Linked DNA regions of Macaca fascicularis. The protein of the gene in region 3 interacts with the protein of the main gene of each other region in a pairwise test. Links are inferred from orthologs where the notes say so. Each region holds a gene or a part of one and is shown on either strand. Other genes may lie near its edges. The genes, in order: SAXO1, GLYR1, FHL2, KIAA1217, ZNF131, SP2 and JUP.

Region 1 (3,500 bases), on a different chromosome or scaffold from region 3:
AAGAAATGCCTGAGGTTGGGTAATTTATAAAGAAAAGCAGTTGAACTGGCTCATGGTTCTACAGGATATACGGGAAGCATGGTAGCATCTGTTTCTGGGGAGGCCTCAGGGAGTTCTACTCATGGTGGAAGGCAAAGCATGAGAAGACATCTTACACGGCAGGAGCAGGACAGAGAGAGTGAGTCGGGAGGTGGGGAGGTGCCACATGCTTTTAAACAATCTTAGGAGAACTCACTCACTATACAGTACTAAGGGGGTAGGGGGGTGCTAAACCATTAGAAATCACCCCCATTATACAATCACCTCTCACCAGGCCCCACCTCCAACACTGAGGATTACAATTTGACATGAGATTTGGTGGGGGCAGAGAGCCAAACCCTGTCAGCCATGATTCAGTTTAAGCTGTGGAATATTCACTCTTCTGTAGTTTGAAGAGGACAGCCTGAGATGTAGCTATATGGACAAAGGGAGAGACAGGGGAAACTGGCAGTGAAAGAGATTAAAGAGTACTGGTGGGGTGTGGTGGGGTGCATGCATGCATGTGTTTGTGTGTGTGTGTGTGTGTGTGTGTTGAGTGGTAAGTAGCTTCCTGGGGATAAGTAGGGAGGACTTCTCTTTAAATACTACATGTAGACCTCCTCCATCCTTGCCAATCCCCAAGACAAGCAAGGAGCATTTTTCACTCGCGGACCTCTCCCTGCACCTAGGGAAAGGTGGAAGACAAGGAACTGAACTGACAGGCAGGAGCTCTGAAGAGTCTCTCCCTATACTAAGATTCATAAACCAACAGGGCACACAAAGACAGTGTAGAGGAGAGGTGAGTCCGCCATTGGATATGCCCTATCAGAGTCCCTTATCCCCTCCACCAATGGTGGAAAGCGCTTACTGCAGTTTCATTCCTCTATCCCACTTGCTCAATGTCTGTGGTGCCTTATTTCTGGTCTTCTTGTAAACACTGGATTAAAAGGGAGAAGAATGCATTCAGTAGAGGCAAAAGTGCCCCCCAACACCCTGCCCACGGTCATACACCTGGTTGTATGGACTACCTGTGTAGTGCCTGCTGTGAGAGGGTAATTGGCAAAGAAAAAGACAAACAGATCCCTGCCCCTTGGAGCTTACAGCCTGGCCATTATAGGAAGCATTAAAAGTACACAATGAATGACAAGACAGGGGAGTGCAAGGCACCCATATAGCATCCAGTCTGACATAGGGAAGGGCTCAGAATGTGATCTTTCAGCTGCTAGCTGAAAGGGTAAGTGCTCGATCAAGGAAGCAGAAGGATTCTATGTAGAAGACATCACATGTGCTAAACAAATGCCCTGAAGCAGAAAAGAAATGTAGGAAGGGACCTGAAAGAAGGCCCTGAGGCTGGAGCAGATGGGCTTAGACATCAGGACCTCCAAGGCATCAGAGGAGGCAGTCAAGGTTTGGGTTTTTATCATAATAGGATCATATGATTTGATAAAATAATGATTTTATCAAATGATTATCTGAGGAGTTTCATACACAGGAGAGGTCACATCAGATGGCCATGTTTAGAAGACTGCTCTGCTCCCTTTCTGTGGAAAATGGGTAAGAGCTGACAAGACTGGATATATGCTCAGGTGTGTGCCCAGGTATAGACATGCAGAAAACAGGATTACGGCTTTGCCAGGAGGAAATAGCAAAAGGGCTGAAGAGAGAGGGAGTCTTGGCTATCAGTAGCAGATGGGCTCCAAAGATAGGCCATGGAGTAGACTCCGTGGGGGGGGACAGACACAGGAGGGGCTGGTGGTAAGAGGGAGGGTTGAGATGTCAATGGACTGGAGGTCCCAACAGGGCCAAGGACTAGCATGGTGGGAGGAGATAAGAGGACAAGCTCAGAGGACAGGATGCCAATGTGCACAAAGGCTTCAGAAGTGGGGCCATTTCGGGGTATGATAACATTCAGAATATTAATCAGTTTTTGTACTGCTGACAAAAGGTGGCTCGACCAAAAGTAGCCATGGGTGAGTGTTAGAGGAGGAAGCTAAAGAAAATAAAAGGGCAGAGCTCAGATTGCTGAAGAGGCCCATGCCAATCCAGTCCTCAGTTCCTGGAAGACTCAGAGAAACTCAACTAGGCACAGGGTCCTCCAGGATGACAGAATTAGAGGCCTTTCTAGGAGCTCACATCCCTCCAACCTCACTACCTCCACCACCATCTTCACCCTAAATGCTTGGCTTGACTAAAGAAAAGTGGCCCCCTCTCTTCACAGCATTGAGAGGTCTGTGAACTGTTTAGCATGTCCTCCTAGGGCAAAGGTGGGTATCATAAGCATGAGTTATTGATGACAAACCTGGTCTCCAGTCTCATGGTCTCAGTCTTTGCAGCTGAGCTCCATAGAGTGGCTGTCTGCTAGCACAACACATATGACCACATATCCTGTCTCTCCGCTAGGCCAGAAAGTCGAGGGCAGGCCATTATGCTTCCTTCAGTTTCTAGGACCACACCTCGTAGGTAATATCAATAGATACTCAATAAAGAAAGAAGCAATCCTGTTTATATAAAGTTCAAAACTGGCAAAACTAATTTAAGGTAAGGTATTAAAGGTTAAAATAACGGTTACGTTCTCGTTGGGGAGGGTGACAGAAATGGGGTAGTAATGTTATATTTCTTGATCTGGGTACTGTTTACATGGATTTGTTCAGTGCAAATTTATTGATCTGTATAATTATAAATTGTATACTTTTCCATATGCATGTTACATTTTGATATATTTTTTAAACACGTGAATGATATATTTTTTAAACACGTGAATGAATCAATCACTTAATCAATGGTAGAAACTAACTTAGCTTGAACTTGAAGTGCTTCCCCCAATATAGGATTCAAACTGCAAGCTAAGGCAGGGGTTGGCAGATATTCTGTATAAGAGCCAGGTGTTAAGTGTCTTATGTCTCACAGAATGTGGTGTCTCTGTCAATAACTACTCAACTTTGCTACTATAGTGCAAAAAGTAGCCATTGATACTGTGTAAGTGAATGAATATGGCTGTGTTCTAATAAAACATGAACACTGAATTTTGAATTTTATATCATTTTCACAGTCCTCAAATGATAGCCTTTTGATTTGTTTTTCAATTATTAAAAAAAAAATGTTTAACCTTTCTTAGCTCTCCAGCTATACAAAAACAGGCTGCTGGCCAGATCTGGTCCGTAGGAAGTAGCCTGCCAACTCTTGCACTAAGTGACTTTGCACATTAAACACGTTTCCTGGCCCGCACACAGGCTCAGCCTGTCCTTCCCCCAATCTGCCCCTCTGTGCTCTCCCACCTTTATAAGTAGGCAAATACTCCATCTTGTTGCTATATGGATATTTACTGTCCCGAGGTTTGATGGGGTCCACTCGACAGACAGTGTAGGGATTGTAATCTTTCTTATACGTCGTGAGCAAATCCATATTCTCTTCACTTGGGACGAACTGGTCATACTGGTGGGCCTTCACTGGTGCCACTTTGTGAGGCCCAAAATCTCTCCTGT
Region 2 (4,278 bases), on a different chromosome or scaffold from region 3:
AACTGCCAGCTGGGGGTGGTGGTTCATGCCTATAATCCAGCACTTTGGGAGGCCAAGGCAGGTGGATTGCTTGAGTCCAGGAGTTCTACATCATCCTGGGCAACACGGTAAAACCCCCTCTACAAAAAATCAGCTGGGCATGGTGGTGCACACTTGTGGTCCCAGCTATTCGGGAGGCTGAGGTGAGAGGACTGCTTGAGTTGGGGAGGCAGAGGTTGTGCTGAGCTGAGACTGTGCCTCTGCACTCCAGGTTGGGTGACAGAGTAAGTCCCTGTCTCAAAAACAAACAAAAAGGAACTGCCTTTGGAGTTGGGTAAAGAAACATGTGAGAAACTACTTCGATGTGATTATTACATTTAGAAGGTAAATGAACCTAGCTCTTGCCTGACTTAGTTATAGGCCTAGGACAGTTGTCTAGGGCAATTTCTGCAAGAAATTGCACCTTTATTTAGGTATGAAGCCAGAATGAGATGCCAGTATTATACATTATAAGAAGACTGAACTAAGGATCCTTAGAATATTTTCAAAGCAGCTCAGACTCCAGGTAACACAGAAAGAAAGGTAAAGGGAGACTCCTGGTGAATACTACTCACTGATCTTCTGTTCCAAAAAATTTCACAAAGAAGCATTTCTTTCCACGAGGTTTCTTCAAGTCCTTTGGTGGATTAACAATCTGGAGGATAAAAGGGGGAAAAAGGTTGGCTGGCAACGCGCAGCCCACTGTCTAGTGGCTCCACATTGCTCTACACAGCTCTATGTTGGGAAGAAAAAAGTAAATTAAAATGACTTACAAATAAATGTATTTATATACAAAACAGAACCCAAGGCCTAGTACTTGTCTAAATCTCCCATTTTTCTAGAGATTTGTGGAAATGTGTAGATATTCTACAAGTTCCCAATATTTAACATGTAGCACAGTGCTCAGCAGACACAATATCCCTTTCACTGTAGAGGCCCTGTTTTACAAGCAGTTAAAACTAAGATCAACAACATCTCCTGCCCCCCACCAACCTGCCCCGCCCCAATGTGACCCCATCATTACTGAAAAAAAGCAGAGGACCCTCTTTGAAATACTTCCTGTGCAGGAAGAGTTGAGACAGGACATAGTGAAAACAAAGGACAACTGAGGCACAGAAAACACCATATTGCAAAGAGACCATCTAAAGACACTTCCTGGGCTCCAAGCAAGAATATAAAAACACATTTGGAAAGCAACGATGGATCACCTCATGCAAAATCTGGAATGCCAACTTCTGCAAAGAGGCACTGGAGTAGCACATATGGTAACATGGAAAGAAGATTTAAACTTAGTTGGGACAAAAATACTTTGGCTTTTCACTAACCTACATTTAGACTTCTCTTCCTGGATAATTTATATTTTCTTCTCCTTTTGTTACATTTAAGCATAAAGCTAAATTCAGATTAGAATTATTTCCGGGGTTAAAAAAGAAACTTCATAAACCTTCTCTAAATCAAGAAATAAGCGTTTAGAGCAGATTTAATGATCTGGAATATACTGCATTGCCTTTAAAAAAATAACTGATACTAGGAGAAAAAAAATTCTAAGTGCCATCTGAATGGGCCCAGTTTAACTCAATACTAGAAACTGAGAGGAATGCATCTTACATTCTCCACCTCCTCAAACCCAACTTCAGATATCTTCCTTTAGTAGCAACACACTCACCTTTCCTGGCCAAGGAGGATACCGGCCGAGTTTCCCCCTAGAGAAAAAACACAGAGTTAACACTCGACCTGGAAAAGTCAGCCTATCTCCTTCAACCCACTCAGTACGCAATTTATTTTCCTAAATCTCTGCTGGCATCCTCAAGTGGCGGAACAAAAGCTTCCACAGCTGGGCCCAAGACCCTCAGAAGCAAAATGCAAAATTGTATACTTATGTGCACAACGTGTAACCATTCTTCTGTTGACAAGGAATACAAAACAACACAACTGTCAAAAGTCACTTGTCTGGAGCTTCTTAATGACGGGGGTGGGAGGACAACTTCCTCTGTAAACACAGACTTTCCCTCCCTAAGTCTGGTTTAATTCAACAGGAGACCTGCCTGGCTTTGACAAATGCTAATGGAAGCCTTCCTCTGGGTGGAGAAACAAGCTATGCAGCTCGAGGGAGGCGGCGACAATCAGCCTTGGTTCGGGCGGTTGTCTGGGACAGAGAAGCAGAACGCGGGAGGCACCCAAGCCTGCACTGGTCACTGCCAAGCCATTGGTTGTAAAGAACTACCCCGCCGTTTCTTCGCGGGGCAACGCCAGAAGTCCGGTTTAGACAATCCCGGCTGAGCCGCCCGCACAGGTCGGCTGCATCGCAACCTGGGCTTTAACCGAATGGCACCGGCGAGATGGACTCGCAGGTCCGGTCCCCGGCGCTTCTGCTTTCTGGGAAGCCCCAGCAAGACCCCGGGAACAAGTCGTCCAAGGAAGCCTCGCGGCACTGGCGGGTCCTTTCACAGGGGCCGCCAGTATCTGGGCCCCGAGTGCAGAACCCTCCCGGGCGGCCTCGGGGATCAAAGCCGGTGCCCGCCGTGGCCACCCTCGGCCTCGGTCCCCCGGGACTGGACTGCCCCTTCCGCCCGGCGCCGCTCGGAAGCGCCGGCACCTTCTCTTCCCCTCTCTCCGCGACCTGGAGCGCACAGAAAGACAGCTCCGGGGCCGGCAGCGAACCCAGCACCCTGGCGGGCAGCTCCCCGGCGCATCTCGGTTGGCCCGGCCGCCCGGACTCACCACACCAAGTCGCCGAGCCGCAGACTCACAGCCGCCATCTTACCACCCAACCACCGCCGACGCACGGGCCGCCGGGAACAAGCAGGTCGCCTCGGCGCCGCCCATTGGAGTGGGTTCGACCACGTGATGGGGGCCGGCTGTCATCGGCCACGCCGCTGCTCCGACGTCACCGCGCCTGTCGGGGATCATTGGCTGGCCGAGCGGCACGTGACGCGAGCGCCGCGGTCTCCGCGCGCCGGAGCGCAGAGACTCCCGGCTCTTTCCCCCTCCCTCCGGCTCGTGACAACGAAGCGTCCGCGGTCTGAGGCGGCGGCGGCGGCGGCGACGGTGCGACCGGCTGAGCGCGAGAGGGAGCCGGCCTCGCGGCCTGCCCCGCCCCCGGGCCTTGGACTCCGCGCTCCTCCCCTCTCGGCGCTTCCGTTGCGGCCGTTGGTCCTGCGCGGGCCCCGGGGCCATTCCCGAGCCCGAGGCGCTGGTCGGCCCCGTCGCTGCGCCCGTGAGCTCCCGTGACGGAGCTCAGCGCGGCCTGGAACTCAGCTTCCGCCGGGTCTGGGCTCCGGCGCCCGGCTACTCCTCTTGGCCGCAGACCGGGAGGCCCTGGTGTCCGCGCCCGTCTGCTCCTGCCGCCCGTGTTCTTTGGAGCGCTCCTCCCGACGGCCGCTTTCGGAGGCGCCGTCTGAGCGCGTGGTCCCGCGCCGCAAGTTCTCCCGGGGCGCCCGGAGGCTGCTCCCCCGACCCCTTGGTGTCCTCAGAGTGGCTGTACGGACGTCGAGTTGGCATTTCTTCGCTTCCTCCTGGGCCGGCGCGCGGCGCGGCACACCAGGCTCCCCTGGGCGCGGGGACCCGGTCATGGGCCCAGGCGCGGGCCGCCCGCCCGCAGGGAGCCACGGCTCGGGAGCCGACCGCTAGCTGCGCCGCCGCCCGGGGACCGGCATGAGGACCGCCGCGGGGGGACGTCTGCGGCCCGCGTCGGCTCTGGGGACAAAGGTGCGTGTCTTTGTCGGGTCCGGGCTCTCCCGTTAGCCTTGCCGTAGTTTGGCACTTCTGAAAAAGTTGTGACAACAGGAAGACAGATGCCGGGCGTAGTTTGGACACTTGAAAACTGAACCATGAAGTGGGAAGTGTTAGCTGCGGTTGAGCGCAGCGCCGGCCCAAACTTCAGCAGACCGGGTAGAAACACAGTTTTGCAAAAGATCCCAGACCTGATCACAGACTCCACAGTGTCAAGGAATGACTTAGACTTGGTGTCGGGCTCTTGTTGAGTTCCAGCCTGCTGGAAAAGGTGGCGGGTCCCCACGCGTTTCCCCAAGGCATTTTGGTGGTTAGAGGTTTCGGTTGCAAGTCGGTGTTTAGCGTACTGGGTCGTCCCGCAGCCTGATTTTTTTTTGGAGATCAGTTTTCCTGAAGTACCAAGAATTAACTTCATGAACTGTCATTTTACTGTGTATGTATTTTTAAGACAAAATGATGTTGAAAGCGTATTTGAGATACTAGGGAATAATTTGATAAAAATAACATGTTCCTGTTTAAAAATTCTTA
Region 3 (3,500 bases):
TGCAAAGCCACACAAGGTGGAACGGCCATCAGTACCTCAATTTTACCTGGTATTTTTCTCCAAATGTTGCATCTCACATTCTGTTTAAAAATGCGTGCGTGGTGGAGCTGAGTAAGCTATCAAAGGAGTGTAGGTGGCCTCAGCTTGGCAAACGAAGGCCATGGAAGATGGAGTGCAAGCACCTCACAATCACGCTTTTTTGCTTTTTATTTTTTGAACATTTCAGTATCATCCAGTAATTCCTTTGGTCTTTACATAAAGCTTGTGAAGTAAGAAAGATACTAATTTTATGGGTGAGTAAACTGAGACTCAGAGAAATTAAAAAGTGACTTGCTGAAGAATTCATAGCTGGTTAATGACAAAGCAGGAGCTAGAATTCCAGACTCCCTTCTATCTTGTATTCTTTTCATTAAACCATGAATCATAAAGCATCTTCCTATAACCCACCCCACCGCACAACAGAATGAACACAAAACACGCTTGGTTGCAACGCATCCATATGCATCAGTAGCCTGTGTGTGTAAGACGTCTCCTCTGCCTGCAACATACGTCCTCAGTCCTCCCTCACTCCGGATTCCATGCTTCCCACCCACATCAGCTAACTCGATGCCTCTCAGCATAGCATGATTTTCTCAGAGACTCCCTCCCTAAACGCCACCCTGGCCCCCGACTCCTCAGATGAGTTGAGGTCCCTCCATTCCACACTCTGCCTTTCTCCTCCACAGCACACTGCTTAGTAACGACTGACGGGTTTGACACTGGAGTGTACTTCCAGCTAGACTGCAGTTAAGTGTCTGCATCTTGTCCAGCATCGGATCCCCAGTGCCTGAGAGGGCCAAGTTCATGTCGAGGAATGGATGCTTCTGGCGTGAAGGTTTTTGTGTGTATTTAACGAACATGCACACAAAAGGCATGCATCCCAGAAGGATGTGTTGCTTTCATTTCCGCAAATGAATAAAGCACACACTGGAAAGATGACAGAGGAAGAGCAATTCAGATGAACTTCTGTTAGGTCTTGATGAGAAAAACAAACCAAAATGAAAATAAAAAGGGGAGAGAACAGGGAAGAGAGTTCCTAAAATAAAAGCAAGAATGAGACCTCAATCTAAGAATAAAGAAAAAAACAGGAGTTCGTGACCAGTCTGGCCAACAAGGTGAGACACCATCTCTACTAAAAAACACACACACACACACACACAAAAATTAGGTGGGTGTGGTGGTGGCGCCTGCCTGTAATCCCAGCTACTCAGGAGCCTGAGTAGCTACTCAGGAGCCTGAGGCAGGAGAATCGCTTGAACCCGGAAGGCAAAGGTTGCAGTGAGTTGAGATCATGCCACTGTACTACAGCGCAGGTGACAGAGTGAAACTGTCTCAAAAAAAAAAAGCATAAATGGAGAGGAAATTAAGAGAAATAAAATCTAAAATAACAGTAAAGAACAAAAGGGGCTGGGTGCAGTGGAGGCGGAGGCAGATCGATCACCTGAGGTCAGGAGTTCCGAGATCAGCCTGGCCCACATGTTGAAACCCCGTGTTTTCTAAAAATACAAAAAAGTCGGCCAGGCATGGTGACGTTTGCCTGTAATCCCATCTACTTGGAAGGCTGAGGCAAAAGAAATCGCTTGAACTGGAGAGGCAGAAGCTGCAATGAGCCAAGATCGTGCCACCGTACTCCAGCCTGGGTGACAGTGTGAGATTCTGTCTCCAAAAAAAAAAAAAAAAATGGAAACGAGAGAAAGGCTGAATGGAAATTGGTAAGAATACTCAGCACTTAGAAAAGGTGCAGGCAAGGGGGACATTCTTGCCCAGGCCAGCCAGGTACAGGTAGAGGCACTGGGATGTTTCTCCATGGCCAAGAGGCAAGGGTAGAGGCCCCAAGGGCAACACAGCAGAAGCTGGGTAAGCAGGGTCAATGAGAGGTTGAGAGCAAACAGAACCTGCAATGAGTTCCACAGCTGGCATTGCCCAGGGCGAGTGAGCCGTGGGAGGGTGCCACTCAACAGGCTGATGCAAAGCCTAACAGCACAGAGACGCTGGAAGCTACGGCATAATCAGAGTTGCGTGTGTGTGAGAGTCAGAGGGCACAGCAGAAAACCAAGTTCTACCCTGACGGGCACAGGTCGGGGGGCAACTGGGCAGAGAGTTGGCTTCCTACAGATAGGCAGTTCCCTTTCTTTCTTTAACCCTAACAGAGCCATGACTGGAACAGATCGAGTAGTTAAGTTTATTTATTGTTATTTTTTTAATTTTTTGAGATGGAGTCTTGCTCTGTCACCCAGGCTGGAGTGCAGTGGTGTGATCTTGGCTCACTACAACCTCCACCTCCCAGGTTCAAGCAATTCTCCTGCCTCAGCCTCCCGAGTAGCTGGGATTACAGGGGTGCACCACCATGCCCAGCTAAGCTGTGTATTTTTAGTAGAGATGGAGTTTCACCATGTTGCCCAGGCTGGTCTTGAACTCCTGACCTAAGGTAATCCACCAGCCTTGGCCTCCCACAGGTGATCCACTAGCCTTGGCCTCCCACAGTGCTGGGATTACAGGCATGAGCCTCCTTGCCTGGCCAGAGTAGATACATTTGATAAATGATCTGTCCCATATCCACGGGGGCAGACTTTTCTCCTTTACTTTTCTTCTCACATCCCGTCTCTCTCTTCTCCCTGCTCCCTCCCTTCCTCTCCCCCTCTTCCTTCCATCTTTCTCTCCCTCTCAAGTTTGCAGTTGTTTTCTTGGTTTATTCATGGAGAGAAGCTGAACAAGACAGCTTTGGGATAGTGGCTCCCCTTCCCTCTACCATCAGGTCATCGACATAAGAATATATTTAGAATGGTCTAGAAGAAGGCAGGGTTAAGCGATTTGATCACAGGAGCTCAACAGCGTTGATGTTTTTGAAAGAAGGATGGGCGCCCAGACCCAATGGATAAAGCTCGGCATGTAAGGCAGGACAGGCACAGCTCCCACGCCATTCCAGTATCACAGGTATCCTTGTTTTTGGAAAGAGAACTGACAGACATGGACCGTGGAGGCAAACCGGCCAGGATGTGCAAGGGCCAAGGGGGAATCTGAAATACCTTTTTGCACTGAACGCACTGCATGGCATGTTGTTTCTCATAGCAGGGCACACAGAAATTCTGATTGTCTTTGGGGATGAAACTCTTGGTTCCAATTGGCTGCTGGCAGCGGTGGCAGATGAAGCAGGTCTCATGCCAGCTGCTGCCCTTGTACTCCATCTTGCGGGTACCTGTCATCAGGGTCAAGAGGAACACAGCAGAGTTATGCTTAGAGGGGCGTGGAGTCCCAGCAATTGCCTTCAGAGCTTGCCACCCTCTAGTTTTATGACCAGAGCAAGTCACTTCAGCTCTTGAAGGCTCACCTCTAAATGGAGGTAATTCCTATTTTGTGCAGGGCATGGACTTTGTCTTTTGGTTCACTACTGTACACCCAGCTCCTAGAACAACACGTGTACATTTTAGGTACTTAACATTTATTTATTGAAAACCGTGGTT
Region 4 (2,320 bases), on a different chromosome or scaffold from region 3:
GTAAGGAGGGGGAAGTAGGCTTAAAGTCCCCACCAGATTTCTTAGCACTTCCATTAGCCTGCAAATAAAGATGGTGGGAGACATTTTGTCAGAAAGGTGGACACGTGATCAACCCACAGGGCCTGGCAACACAGCCCTTCTGAGAATAATTCAATCAAAGAAAACCAACCACACACAGTTCAAGGCCTGAGCTAAGTCTTGTTGTGCTTTACTGGACCTGGTAGAAACCCCCCACGTACATAGCAAAGGATGGACAGGAAAGGAGGAAAGGAAGAACGCATTTGTGAGAGGAGTCCCATGATTCCAGCTCTATCATTTCCCGTGTGCCAGGTGGGCCATGCGTCTGGATAATTACTGGGGTGGGGGTCGGGCATTTTGACGGAGCGTTAATGTGCTTCTAACGCAATACAGTCAACATAGACGTTAGTAGTGGTGACGTTAAGGGCAGTTCCACCACAGGTTGGTTTGTCTCTGCTTCCCGAGGTGTTCAGATGAAACACTACATTCACCAAAGAAAAGCCACCTGGTCTGGCACCGTGTGTTAACAGTTAAAATTTGGAGCTTGGAGTCACAAAGTAAAAGATGTTTTATTGTAAGCATGCAAAAGCGTGGTGAAAAAGTTTAACAAATGGTTTTTAGACTTTCTTCATGCCCCCAGATCCAGGATGTCTATGTAAACCGTTATCTTACAAAGAAAGCACAATATTTGGTATAAACTAAGTCAGTGACTTGCTTCTTAACTGAAATAGCGTCCATCCAAAATTGGGTTTAAGGTAAAACTACCTGACGATATTGGCGGGGATCCTGCAGTTTGGACTGCTTGCCAGGTTTGTCCAGGGTTCCGGGTCTGTTCTTGGCACTCATGGGGACAGGCATCCTGCTCGTCTGTGGGGCCCCGCTGGAGCCCTGTGGGAAGGACCAGTGAGAGGGGGAAGAGAAGGAGAAGCACGTGAGTAGGTCATCCGTGAGGCTGCTCCACTATGTTCAGAGAAGCTCAAGGTGAGAAGCCACAGCCCTACATGCAGGACAGATCTAGGAGACACCAACTGGGGTTAATCAGAAAAATCAAACAGAATCAACTGCTCACTACTGATCAAACGGATTTTAATGTGAGTATCAGAGCAATGATTTCAACAGCACATGGCTGACCCGGCAGCCTCGTGTTTACCCAACACCAGTCAGCAACAGAGGCAAAAACAGAATTGATTAGCTGTTAGACACCTAGTTGTTGTTGTTTTGAAGGTGAGGGAGAAAGTATGAAAGAAGGGTTTCATGGCGAACAGACAAAAAAATAAAATAAAATAAAATAAAGCCACCTGAAAGAAAGCAATTAAGTCACAAGACACCTTTTGCTAATGGTGATTATGGCAGATTTAGGAAAGCAGCCGGGTCTTTTCATTTTCCAGCAGACCAAGATACCTTACGTGAAGTTGAAGGTATCGACGTAGGGGGCTCTAGGGCAGTGGGGCCTTCATCCGGAACTAGCAAGGGCCGGGGAGAGGCCTCCTGGGCTATGTGGGATGAACTTGCAACAGAATCTCTGTTGGAAGAACCTGAGGTATCAACTAGGGCTTTGGGACTCATTTCACTGATTGTATTTTCAAGCTGTTTGATGGTCTGCTCCAGGCTATCCAACGTTCTGTAGGTGTTTTTTCTAATTTCATCAGTTCTTGAAATCGGAGACGTGCTCTCGATGCTGGACTGCTCTTCCCTCCTCAGCATGTTTCCAGGGCTGTCTTCAGGTTGAGACCTAGTGATTTCAAAGCGCTTGGCTTCTTTGTGTTGTTTCAGGGTGCCGTCCTCCTCCTCTTCTTCGTAGACTACCACTTGCAAAGTCTTCTTCCCTGTTTTAGTTCCCGTGCGAATGGCTTGAGTGAGAGCGGCGAGTTGCTTCTTAGGGAATTTGAATTTAAACTTTTTCTTAGGGCTTTCAAACTGGTCATCGGTCAGGTCGCCACCCTTCCATTCCGAATGTGGAGAATCCACGTGGCTGAACTTGTCCAGCTCCATTCTGTTCATTTCCTGTCCCCCTGGGATTCTGGTCTCTGTTGCCAGAGAGTGTGGCTGTGACTTTGTTTCCACCTGTTGTCCTGTTCTAAGATTGCCCGGGGCCACCTTCTTATGAGACATCTGGGAAGTGGTATTATTCTGGACTACAGAATCTCCATTTTCCTCCTCTTCCTCCTCCTCTATCTTTTCTTCCATCATCATTCTCTCTAATTCCTCATCACACTCCTCAAAGATAGTTGAAAGTCTCTTATATGCAGACCGGATGTCCATGGGCTCGTCGAAAATGATGATCACTGGTTTCTTGTCCAGG
Region 5 (4,143 bases), on a different chromosome or scaffold from region 3:
ACAGGAGTTATAAACCACACGGGTGGCGATAATGGGGGTTCTTATTACGAAAGAGAAACTTGCTGCTACTAAAATTATGTAGGCATGGTTAAAGTCAGAAATGTTACGGCTAGAAATCTCAAACTAGAATACATCTCAACTTGCTAGGGTAAGAAATAGCTAAACTCTGACTTGGTCAGACTAAGAAATCAGGAGTTTGAGATCAGCCCAGGCAACCTGGCGAAACTCCGTCTCTAGGAAAAATACTAAAAATTACCCGGGCGTGGTGGCGTGTGCCTGTGGTCCCAGCTACTCCAGAGGCTGGGGTGGGAGGATCGCTTCAGCCCGGGAGGCTGAGGTTGCAGTGATCCGAGATCGCGGCACTGCACACCATCCTGGGCGACAGAGCCGGACCCCGTATCAAGAAAGAAAAAGAAAAAGAACCAAAGAAAAAGAAATTACCATCGCACAGTTAAGTCTGCCTTGCTAAACAGTGACTTCTAGGATCAAGAAATCGCAGCCAGGGCTAGACCGGTGTTTGCCCTAAACCGGGACTTGCTTAGGCTGAGAAATCACATTTTGGCTATTGATTTGTACAAGAGGTAGCAATCGCAGGCACCGCGAAATCGAAACTTGCGAGAACCAAGAAGCCAACGACGCGCGAAACCGCAGAGGCCTGGGACAGAGACGCGAGCGGCGGCGCCGCCAGAGGACTGGGTTCTGGAGGCTAAGCCAGAACCCCTACGACGCCGCTCGCGGCGCTGTGAAGAGACGGCGCCCGCGCAGCTCCTCTGCCACTTGGCTCAGACGAGCGGCGGGCTCCCCCGCCCAGCGCCGCCGCCACCCGGGAACGCCAGACTCTGCGCAACTGGCTGCGACTCCAAGTCCCTCAGATCAGCGACCAGAGCGCTGCCGCCACGAGAAAATGGAGGCACCGAGGAACAAGCTGTGCCGCCACCAAGAGAACTCGGCTCCGCGAAATGGCGGTGCCGGGACTCTGCGAGTGACGCCAGCCGGAGGAGTTCCCAAGGACAACATCCGTTTTGGCGCAACCAACTGTGTTGTCACGGAGAAAATGTCGACCCTCGGAAAAGAGAGGTTCTGCGACCGAGAAATTCGGTGCAACAAGTGCTGTGACAGAAACCCTCCCCCCGGCTCGGCGCTGTTGGCGAAAGAGCCAACAAAACGCTGGGTGCTGCCACCGTGACACCGACTTTAGGACACGGGCCTCGGATGGAGAAAGGAAGAGCACGGAGCCACCGCCTAACTTCCTAATGTCTTCAAATAGCGAAAGTGCTAACCGGAAACTGCCGGCTGGGTTTACCTATTGGTGTTTCGCGTGGGACCAGCAGATTCCAGAAACCAGAGGGACTGGAACCTAGTACACCTCGGCAATTGGGAAATGACCTACCAGGACAAATAACTGCTTCTGGCTCCATGGTGCTGCCCGTGAACATCCGCCGGCTCTGAGAAACGAGCTGCACTGTCAATGAGAAACCGTGGGCACTGAGAAAGGAGCGGGCTGCAACGGATAACTGCCCACCCATTGCCACTAGGACAAAGTGCTGCCGGCACTACTCCCACCCTCCGTCCTCAAATCAATCCTCTCCCGCTTAAGAAGACCTTTATTTTTCATAGCGAAGTCATACCGAGAGCCCCAGCAACCGACCCCTTGCGATGTGCATGGGAAAAGGAGGCAGTATAGCGATCGAGAATCGGGCGGATTAGGCTGGCCCTGGAAACAAAGTAAAAGCCATCCCGGTCGCCAGCCGTCTTCCACTGCAAGAAACAAACCTTCCAGTGGCTGGGCTCCGCCCTTCTCCTTGGTCAGAGCCCTCCAGACTCCTAAGAGGAAGCCGACACCTCATCCCTTTGGAATTTGAAGCTCTCAGTCCAAGACCTCAGTGGAGAGTGAAAGACACAATGCCGCCTGACCCAGGCTTCAGGCCTGCCCGGGCAGCTAGGTACCTCTCCAGGGGATGGAACTCTGTGGGAACTGCTATTTAATTCTGATGGTTAACTCTGTCAGATGGCCTTGATACATGGGAATAATCGTTGGAAGAGGGTAGAGGAAATAAGAACCGCAAGACTCTAGCACAGGACGTGTGGATTGATGGTGAGGCCTCTGTTCCCTCTCCCCTTGAAATCCTCAAAGGGCAGCTCCATTTCTATCACCTTTGACCTTTGAAATTCATCCCTGATGTCTTCTCCATCTTTGGGAAGTGCAGTGCAATTTCAAGCTCTTCAATCTTCCCTCTCCCCCATTTGTCAAATATGCTGACGCTACAAACTTCTTTTTTATAGGAAGCCTGAAACTGCCATTGAGCAGAAGGAAAACATCCCTTTCCAGAAGCTTTCTCGTTTCTCTAAAAATCTGCACTTTTGGAAGTGATCCCCCAAAGAGACCTCCAGACTCTACCATGAGTGTCTCCAGCTGAATTCATCATGTCTAATCCTCACCCTAGCTTATCCTGTTCAAATCATTTCCATCTTTTTCTGGATGAATCTGGGCGGATGTCAGACCAGAGAAGAGCACAAAATGCACCAGAGGTAAGAAGACCCATTTTGGGCTCTCACTTCTCACCCACTCCCGAGATGGCCACCTCCAGTCTTCCCTCCCTATACCCTACCCTTTCTTCAGCTAGCCAAAACCTGCCCTGGTACTTGAGGCTTCTTCAATTGCCTTCTTTTGCACGCAGTAGAATAAAGGAAAGAGGACAGTGTCAATAGAAGAAAAGTTACAGCCACTTTATCTAATTGAAGATACTGTGCAGAGTCTTTGAAAAAACAAAATATCCCACCCACCATTCCTCTCTCTCCCTTTCTACCCTAGCTTCCTATTTTAGCAAAAATGCTGGGATCAGCACTTCTGGAGGGAAGGGATCACCCTTCCAGGTTAGGAATGTGGAGAGGAGTTATGGAGCTCACTTCCCTAAAGGAGGGGGCATTCTAGTTCCGGCATTCAGATTCAGTCTGATTCCAATATGGTGTTTTTGTGGGGTGGTCAGAGAAAGGGCAAGTCAGGAACTGTATATTCCTCAGCTAGAGACTCTAAGACATTTGCATTTGGAAAATCAGGACAGATGCTGATATTGTTTGGCTCCATGTCCCCACCCAACTCTCACCTTGAATTGTAATAATCCCCACGTGTCAAGGGTGAGACCAGGTGGAGATAACTGAATCATGGGGGGTGGTTTTCCCCATGCTGTTCTCGTGATAATGAGTGGGTCTCCAAGATCTGATAGTTTTATAATTGGCATTTTCCCCTGCTGGCACACATTCTCCTGCGCCCCTCTGAAGAGGTGCCTTCCACCATGATTGTAAGTTTCCTGAGGCCATGCAGAGCTGTGAGTCAGTTAAACCTTCTTTCTTTATAAATTACCCAGTCTTGGATATTTCTTCATAGCAGTGCGAGAATGGACCAATACAGATGTGGTAGAGTTGGGTGCTGGGTGGCAATGTCAGGTATATGCAGGTTCTAGGCACCAGGTCAAATCTGGAATGCAAATTATGGGACACAAACCACAAATGATGTCCAGCCTTTAATATTTTCTTTCATTGTTTGTCAAATAGACAAAGAAACAAAGAATAAAGAAAAGCATTTTTTTTTTTTTTTTTTGAGACAGAGTCTCGCTCTGTTCCCCAGGATGGAGTGCAGTGGTATGATCTCGGCTCACTGCAACCTCTACCTCCCCGGTTCAAGTTATTCTCCTGCCTCAGCTCCGAGAAGCTGGGATTACAGGTGCACACCATCACACCTGGCTAATTTTTGTATTTTTAGTAGAGACAGGATTTCTCCCTGTTGGCCAGGCTGGTCTCAAAGTCCTGACCTCAAGTGATCTGCCTGCTTCAGCCTCTCAAAGTGCTGGAATTACAGGCATGAGTCACAGTGCCCAGCCTCAAAGTATATTTTTGTAAAATTTTATCAAGATAAACCTAGCTAAACCAATATACTAATAATAACAAAACTTGGGTTATTATTCACTAAAGGAAGGTGGCACAAAATAGAAACATTTTTAAACGTTCAAAAAAAAATCCAGCTAGGCGCAGTGGCTCACGCCTGTAATCCCAGCACTTTGGAAGGCCAAGGTGGGTGGATCACGAGATCAGGAGATCGAGACCATCCTGACTAACATAGTGAAACCCCATCTCTACCAAAAATAC
Region 6 (3,075 bases), on a different chromosome or scaffold from region 3:
TGGCCCTTCACTTTGGGAAGGGACCTTGGCCCTTGGGGAAATGCATTTTTGCCAGACTGTAGCCTTTTGGAGGGGACTGAGCCAAGGCCCCACTGGCTCTCCTCTCTAAGCCTCTTGCTAATGGGCTCTGAGGCCAATGCCTTCCTCCAGGGGTTGGGGAGGTGGGTGGAGGAGTTAACTTGCTGGCTGAGGTCACTGCTGTGACTTGGCTCTTTGTATCTGATTTGTGTACAGGCAAAACTGGCTTACAGAAGAAAAAGGCAGGAACACCTGCACTGGGCCCTGGCCCTTGGAGGTGCTCTGGGGGCTCGTGCCAGTGTCGTGAGGTACATGTGGCTGCGGCCCCTTTTGGGCACGTGGCCTGGGTTTGCTGAGGGTCAGGAGGGTAAGGTCCTACCTTGATCCCAGTGTGGATCGCTCTGAGAGACCACAGCTCCCTCCTCTGGAGTCTCCTCTCCGAGCTCTCCAAGGGAAAAGACAAAGGAAGCCGAACTGCCAAGTTGAAGATTTTGCCTCAGGCAACTAAATTTATTAGCAAGAAAAAATTTTTGTCAGCCCAGCGCTGACCAACAAAGTACGTTAATAAAGGATAACAAATCTGTCACTTAATTCATAAAACATACCTCAAGCAGTTACAACTAAAAATAAAGTTGGATTTTTGTTTAATTTAAAAGCCTCAAAAATAACAAGCAATATGTTTTTAAACATGTAGTAGACACAATTGTCTATTATACAATATACACTGTACACAAGTAGAGCTTGGGCCGGGCAGGGGTGAGGTGAAGGGAGAGGGAAGAGGTGCAGGATGGGCAGGTGCTGTTATCTGAATCCAGATTTGAGTTTAAATGCTGTGTCATTTAGAAAAGGGAATTGCTAGAGTGAGAAAAAAATTCATATGCTCATCATTGCCCCCAACCCTCAACTGAAAGCAGGCATTGGGGAGGTGAATAACAAGGAAAGGAAGAAGGGAGCAATTAAATAAAACTTCTTTAAAGCACACACAGTACACAGTGTTCATCATCTGAAGTAGAGAGTATAAGGCAACGTTCTCCATAGAAAAAGAGGGGGATCAGGAGGAGTCGGTGGGTGTCTTTACTTTTTAAACAGAGCTGGAATGTGCTGGAGGAGAGGTTGTGGCGGGGCTGGGCACATGGAGTGGAGGTGGCCCCGAGTCTCTCCAGAGGTGGGTGCCAAGCCCCAGGGCGTCCACAGTGGCCGGCAGGGCCAGGGAGGTGCAGGAGAGTGGGCATGGCACGATGCGACTCCGGCAGTGTTGGGAGCGGGGATTGGGGTGGGGGGTGGGGGCTCACTTTGCTCCTCGACGGAGTGAAATGCATGTTTTTCCTTTGGAAATAAGGGTTCCCACGCGTCCTGGTTTAGAACGTCTCATTGGGCACGGCCAGTGTCCACAGTCTGGGCAGGCCGGGAGCTCGTGGTGAGGGGAAGGGCCAAGGCGGAGCCAAGGGGCTTCAGAAGGAGGACAGGGAGCAGAGCCCCTTCCTGTGGGGACAGTTGCAGAACAGGAGTGGGGCTGAGGGCAGGCCCAGGGCAGCCACAGGGCTCCTTTCCACCAGGGGCCCAGGGAGGACACAGGCGGGGGATTGCATCTTCAGGGCCTCCCGCCGCAGTTGGCCTTACAAGTTCTTCGTGACCAGGTGGGTCTTGTAATGCTTGGTGAGGTGGTCACTCCTCATGAAGCGCTTCTGACACTGGGCGCACTCGAAGCGTTTGTCCCCTGGGAAGAGGAGATGCCCATCACCCACATACCCTGGGCACAGACCCTGTCTCTGCCCAAAAAGGTGGGGTGTGTGTGAGGGGCACCCAAACAAGCTGACGTAGCCTTGTCACCACATTCTGCCCACCTCCTGCTCTCACATTTGCTCCCTGGTGCCTACTCATCTAAATCTTTTTTTTTTTTTTTTTTTGAGATGGAGTCTCACTCTGTTGGCCAGGCTGGCATGCAGTGGTACAATCTCCGTTCACTGCAACCTCCACCTCCCAGGTCAAGCAATTCTCCTGCCTCAGCCTCTCAAGTAGTTGGGACTACAGATGCCCGCCACTGCGCCCAGCTAATTTTTGTATTTTTGTAGAGAGAGGGTTTCACCATGTTGGCCAGGCTGGTCCTGAACTCCTGACCTCAAGTGATCCGCCCACCTTGGCCTCCCAAAGTGCTGGGATTATAGGCATGAGCCACCACACTTGGCCCCCTACTCATCTAAATCTTTTTATCAATTCTCATTTCTCTCTGCCCCCATTTGACCTCTGCAGTCTATTTTGTTCCCATTCCTTGTCCCTGGAGCCCCTGCACCTAAGAGTCTTCCGTGCAGGGTTGTCCGCCTGCTTTCTTCTTCTGTCTCTCTGACTTTGAACCTGGATCAGCATCCTCCCCATCGCAGGAAAATCCCGCTCCACCCTGACCCTGCCAGCCCTGAGCACTCACTTAGTTGGAACCATGTTGACCCCAACTGCTTTCCTGTGGAGTGCTGGCTCCTCTGCCTTTTGAGGAGTAGGACCTGTCTCACCACACTGGCCGGGAGCTGGAGCTCTGGGTCAAGCTTCCCTCAGCCCTCTAGCCCCAGGACAGGTGTCTGCTCACTGCAGGCATTCACTATAGCAGTGTTTGCCAAAGTGTGTGTGTGGACCACTGTGGATACCCAGGACAATTTCAGGTGGCAGATGTATGAACTTTTTTTTTTTAAGAGATGGGCTCTCGCTATATTGCCCTGCCTGATCAAACTCCTGGGCTCAAGTGATCACCTGCCTCAGCCTCCCAAAGTGCTAGGATTACAGGTGTGAGCCACTGTGCCCAGCCTGGATCAATATTTTTAATAGTTTTGCATTGATTTGCTAGTACCTAAAACTATAACTGTGATATCTCACTTTGGGAGGTAGAAGAGGGAGGATCAGCTGAGCCCAGAAGTTTGAGACCAGCCTGGGCAACACAGTAAGACCCTGTCTCTACAAAAATTTTAAAATTAGCCAGGTGTGGTGGTGCACGCCTGTAGTCCTAGCTACTCAGGAGGTTGAGGTGGGAGAATTGCTTGAGCCCAGGAGTTCAAGACTGCAGTGAGCCAA
Region 7 (4,280 bases), on a different chromosome or scaffold from region 3:
CAAAAAAAAAAGAAAGTGCTTGGTTTCTGTAAAGTCTGACCTTGATCTTGAGTTACCATTTGTCAAGTACTTACCGGGTAGATAGGTGTTGTATTCCCATTTTGCCAAAGAAGTCACTGAGACTCAGGCAATGTAATGAGAGACAGAGCTGGTTCTCAAACCCAGCTCAGTTCAAGCCCAAAGCCCTGTGCTCAGAACTGCCCCACTGTCCCATCTCTCCAAACAAACAGTCCTTCTGTAGACTAGTCAATTGACCGATCTCATTCTAAGGTGGCTCCAGGAAGGGAAGAAGGTTGGCAGCCCTAGCCCGACCTTTTTCGTTCCTATACACTGCATTCTCAAAGCCTCAGCCCTGGCAGCCCAGAGGTTCCAGAGGGAATGGAGTGGAGCCAGGGTGCAAGGGAGGGGTGGAGTGGGGGTGGGAGGGCTCAAGTCACCCAAGCTGGGGCTTGATCTAGCAAGAAATGACTAATTGGGTCCTACCTTCTCCTCCTCCGCGTCCCCCAGTCCAGTCAGTGGCCAGTTTTCACCAGGCACCTCCTAGTAGTACTTCCTCAGTATTATCTTTTCATCACAGCCACAAACCAGATTAGCTAAACTAATCATTTAGCCAACATAATTACAATGCCCTCCCCTCCTCCACCTTGGCAGGGAGAAGAGGGAAAGCAGGTTATTTTTGCCCAAACTCCGTGCTCCTGTTGCGCCCCAGAGGTGCACCGCCCCCCTCCTCCAGCAGAAAAGGATCTGAGTTCCCACACTGACTTCCCCCTAGCCCCGGGCTGAGCGTGATCCCCACCCAGGATAAAGGGGCTGAGTCTGGGCCCCCAGCCTCACTCCCCCATCTACAACAAAGAAAGAGGTGGTAGACTCTCCCCCTCCAAGCACTCTCCATCCCCGCTCCCCGCAATCTTTCTCCCACCCCTAGGACTGAGAGAGAACCCAACTGTGGTATTCTCTCTCTGTTCCCCAAGGAGGCTGGGCTCCAAATCCTGCAAAAAGACCACACTTCAGATTGTTTTTTAAACCGGGGTAGAAAGCCTGGTCAAGATTCCCAATTCCGGAGGGTGGGGGGGTCTCAGGAAATTGGGAGCAGGGAAGGCAGGGGCCCGATGCAGCTCTGCCTGAGGGAGTCTAGCACTGAAGAAACCTTCCCCCAAAAAGCCTTCCTCCGGTCTCACTTTCCCTGTCAAATTCTTTCAGGAAAGGGGGTGGGAAAGGTCTGTGCAGGCCTCCAGAAAGCATGCACCTTCATAATTCAGAAATCAAATGGAAGGCAAGTCCCACAGCCTCATGCTCTTTTGCCTCAATTACCAGCCAGCTAAGTAATGTGGGGGATGGGGTAGAGAAAAAAAAAAGACAAGAACAACCACTCCCCCCACCTTCCTCAGTTTGGCCCAGCCCTGCCCCACCCCCATTCCTGGGGAGGGGGCAGAGCTTGAGAGAGAGAGCCGCTTACGCAGGCCTCGTCTGAGGGGGTGTGGTGGTCCCCGGAGGCAGGAAGAGAAGGAAGAAGCTGCTTCCCCTCTCAGCACTTTCCACCCCCCACCCCGGCCCCCACCTCAGGCCCCTGGGGCCCAGCGAAGAGGATGAAGGTGGGGGCAGGGAAGACAGGGTCGGAGCGCAGGCACCCGCCCAGGTTCAGCCAGGGGCCGGCTAGGGGAAGGGGCTTTGCACCAAGAAGGACCCCCTAAGCCTAAAGGAAGTTTTGGGCAAGGAGACAGGAAAACCCCCAGATCAAGCTGCTGTGAATACTTCCTCCTGCAAAGTTTGTTTTGGGTGATTTTTCCAACAATAAGAGGTTAGAGAAGAAGACGGGTCCTGTTCCCCTACCAACACTCTAGCAGCCACAGCTACTGGAAACTGGGCCAGGTGACCCTGAATTCTTCATCCGTGCACAGACCCCACCCCCCAGACTCCAGGGCGAGCCACGGATGCCAGACACACCAGCTGGACACTGGGTCGAGCCCTGCACCCACCACTGTCACTCCATCCCACCTCCGCTGAAGAAGCCAGAGCCCGGCTCCCACCGGAGTGGAGGGAGGCGCCGCAGGTAGTATGGACGAGGCTCTGGGAGTTGGAGGGCAGGGCCTCTGGACTCCGTGCGCTCACCTGCTCGGCAGGTGGGGCCAGCGTCGCTAGGAAAATGTGTGCTCGGCCCCCACAGTTGGGCAAGCTGGGCGCAGACAATAGGGCCCCACCCAGGCCTGGGGGAGTAGGGAGGGAGGGAAAGCGAGGATGACGCGTGGGGTGGGGTGAGAGTGGCCCCAGAGACCAGCGGCAGCAAGTTTCCCAAACGGTAAATTCCTGACTGCAGCGTGAGCCCTGGGACGCAGTCAAAGCAGGGCAAAGTCTCCCCCACCAGCTCAGGGCGAGAGTCAGGGACGCGGCGTCGGGCGAGGGGCGCGGGCCCCGGGGGAGGCACGACTCCGGAGGCACCTGTCCGGATCCCTCCCGCCCTGCTCAGATCTCTGGCTCGCGGAGCTCCCAGGCGCGCTCTGCCCAAACCGCGCGACCCCCAGGTCGCCGCGCCCAGGACCCCAGCGCGCCCCCTGCCGCCGGTGCAGGGTGGCGCTCCATGGCACCCGCCCTCACCTGCCCAGAGACGGCAGGGACCGGCCTCGCGGGCGCTCGCCACCCCTTCTCTCCCCAGCGATACCTGCTCCCGATCGCCCGCACCTTAGTATGGGGCCTGGCCGGGCCGGGTCGGGGTCGGGCCGGGGTGGGAGCCGGCGCAGGCAGCTAACTGAGCTCGGCGTGGTCGGGCGGCGGCTGCTCCGGACTCTGGCCAAGGCAGCAACTCAGTAACCGAACAAAAGGCAAAGAGACCTGACAGCCAAGCCACGCCCCTCGCCACCTCGAAGCTCCGCCCCTGGGGGAGACGCCCACCCTCTGGTGCGAGCTCACTGGCTGTCTCGCCTGACTGTCCCGTCGAGGGGCGGAGCCTCACCTCCAGTCCTCTTCCACGGCCGCCTCTGTTTATCCGCTTGCCATTGGCCCCAGGGACTGCCAGTCGGCTCTAGGGATGGACTCTAACTTGAGGTCTCATCCTAACACTGCACCTATTGGCAGATAGAAAGTTACTTCCTCCTGATTGGACAAGGGGCTGTCAGTAAGACTAAGGAAAAAACCAATGGAAGGGATGGGGTGTGTCTTGCCCCACCCTTGCTCTGAGCAGGTGAGACTCATTACTCTCCCCTTCCCCCTACCTGTCCAACAGGTAAGTCAGGGGATACTAAGGGAAGGGACAGACGCCTTCACCGGCCAGCCAACTCAGCGTCAAGCATGATGCTTCTTTGGGCTTATTCATCCTTGCCCCAAAGTAGTAATCACATATTTGTATAGCATTTCATAGGCTTTGTGCTGGGTTGGGATTTTTTCCCCCCAAAGATGGAGTACTCCTGGGATTTAGAATTAGAAGACCAGGGTTTGTGTTCTCCCACTTAGTATGATCTTAGACAAGTTACTTCACCCTGTTTCTCCTCATCTGTAAACTGGATACATTAGCCGTATCTACCTCTCTGGAGTATGTGGGGATTAAATGAAGTCAGGTTTGTGAAAGCACTCGGAAACTGCTAAAGGTTAGAATTTAAATTAATGATATTTTTGTTTTAATTATTGTGACAGCTCTGAAAAAATAGTTAAGATGAGAAAACGACCCTCATTGTAAAGATGAAGAAACCGAGGTTCAGATAAGTCACAAAACTACAAAGTGGCACACCCCAAGCTAGAACCTCCTTCTCATTTGAAGGACCATCGAACCAGCTGTTCCCTTCATGGAACATAAAATGCATAGACATAAAATGTCAAGGCAATGGGGGAAGGGGCAGAGAAAAGGCACAAACACTGGGAGGAGAGACAGAACAATTAATTGGCACAAAAATACAGTATTGGTGTCAGGAGGCTTTGATGGGCTTGGAAACATCAAGCAGCAGATCTGAAAGAAACCCAGGCATGAAAGAAACGGGGCAGGCCAAGGTGGGTGGATAACCTGAGGTCGGGAGATCAACACCAGCCTGGCCAATATGGTGAAACTCCATATCTACTAAAAATACAAAAAATTAGCTGGGCGTGGTGGCGGGCAACTATAATCCCAGCTGCTTGGGAGACTGAGGCAGGAGAATTGCTTGAACCCGGGAGGCGGAGGTTGCAGTGAGCTGAGATCATGTCACTGCACTCCGGCCTCAGCGTGACAGAGTGAGACTCCATCTCAAACAAAAAGAAAAAGAAAAAAAGAAACTGGGTAGCACATCCCTCCACGATAGGAGAGCCTGGGGTAGAGA

The links.
Region 1: the proteins of FHL2 (region 3) and SAXO1 interact in binary tests that used the Homo sapiens proteins (3 or more experiments, as listed by UniProt). The two-hybrid records come from large-scale screens. The link is inferred for Macaca fascicularis from reciprocal best matches to the Homo sapiens genes FHL2 and SAXO1.
Region 2: the proteins of FHL2 (region 3) and GLYR1 interact in binary tests that used the Homo sapiens proteins (3 or more experiments, as listed by UniProt). The two-hybrid records come from large-scale screens. The link is inferred for Macaca fascicularis from reciprocal best matches to the Homo sapiens genes FHL2 and GLYR1.
Region 4: the proteins of FHL2 (region 3) and KIAA1217 interact in binary tests that used the Homo sapiens proteins (3 or more experiments, as listed by UniProt). The two-hybrid records come from large-scale screens. The link is inferred for Macaca fascicularis from reciprocal best matches to the Homo sapiens genes FHL2 and KIAA1217.
Region 5: the proteins of FHL2 (region 3) and ZNF131 interact in binary tests that used the Homo sapiens proteins (3 or more experiments, as listed by UniProt). The two-hybrid records come from large-scale screens. The link is inferred for Macaca fascicularis from reciprocal best matches to the Homo sapiens genes FHL2 and ZNF131.
Region 6: the proteins of FHL2 (region 3) and SP2 interact in binary tests that used the Homo sapiens proteins (3 or more experiments, as listed by UniProt). The two-hybrid records come from large-scale screens. The link is inferred for Macaca fascicularis from reciprocal best matches to the Homo sapiens genes FHL2 and SP2.
Region 7: the proteins of FHL2 (region 3) and JUP interact in binary tests that used the Homo sapiens proteins (3 or more experiments, as listed by UniProt). The two-hybrid records come from large-scale screens. The link is inferred for Macaca fascicularis from reciprocal best matches to the Homo sapiens genes FHL2 and JUP.

Annotation. Positions count from the first base shown.
Region 1 is NC_088389.1:79,936,738-79,940,237, reverse strand, and holds part of SAXO1 (stabilizer of axonemal microtubules 1), read right to left. Parts: intron 3,497-3,500; coding exon 3,294-3,496; intron 1-3,293. UniProt on the Homo sapiens protein: May play a role in the regulation of cilium length. Stabilizes microtubules at low temperature.
Region 2 is NC_088394.1:5,657,771-5,662,048, forward strand, and holds the start of GLYR1 (cytokine-like nuclear factor N-PAC), read right to left. Parts: upstream 2,801-4,278; 5' UTR 2,778-2,800; coding exon 2,740-2,777; intron 1,722-2,739; coding exon 1,685-1,721; intron 674-1,684; coding exon 594-673; intron 1-593. UniProt on the Homo sapiens protein: Cytokine-like nuclear factor with chromatin gene reader activity involved in chromatin modification and regulation of gene expression. Acts as a nucleosome-destabilizing factor that is recruited to genes during transcriptional activation.
Region 3 is NC_088387.1:9,795,376-9,798,875, forward strand, and holds part of FHL2 (four and a half LIM domains protein 2), read right to left. Parts: intron 3,236-3,500; coding exon 3,066-3,235; intron 1-3,065. UniProt on the Homo sapiens protein: May function as a molecular transmitter linking various signaling pathways to transcriptional regulation. Negatively regulates the transcriptional repressor E4F1 and may function in cell growth.
Region 4 is NC_088383.1:25,337,187-25,339,506, reverse strand, and holds part of KIAA1217 (sickle tail protein homolog), read right to left. Parts: coding exon 1,420-2,320; intron 907-1,419; coding exon 784-906; coding exon of another isoform or gene 769-783; exon of another isoform or gene 569-768; intron 59-568; coding exon 1-58. UniProt on the Homo sapiens protein: Required for normal development of intervertebral disks.
Region 5 is NC_088380.1:43,506,273-43,510,415, forward strand, and holds the start of ZNF131 (zinc finger protein 131), read left to right. Parts: upstream 1-1,343; 5' UTR 1,344-2,095; intron 2,096-2,283; 5' UTR 2,284-2,424; coding exon 2,425-2,529; intron 2,530-4,143. UniProt on the Homo sapiens protein: Plays a role during development and organogenesis as well as in the function of the adult central nervous system. May be involved in transcriptional regulation as a repressor of ESR1/ER-alpha signaling.
Region 6 is NC_088390.1:58,807,366-58,810,440, forward strand, and holds the end of SP2 (transcription factor Sp2), read right to left. Parts: intron 1,736-3,075; coding exon 1,635-1,735; 3' UTR 501-1,634; downstream 1-500. UniProt on the Homo sapiens protein: Binds to GC box promoters elements and selectively activates mRNA synthesis from genes that contain functional recognition sites.
Region 7 is NC_088390.1:62,820,550-62,824,829, forward strand, and holds the start of JUP (junction plakoglobin), read right to left. Parts: upstream 2,801-4,280; 5' UTR 2,593-2,800; intron 518-2,592; exon of another isoform or gene 484-517; intron 1-483. UniProt on the Homo sapiens protein: Common junctional plaque protein. The membrane-associated plaques are architectural elements in an important strategic position to influence the arrangement and function of both the cytoskeleton and the cells within the tissue.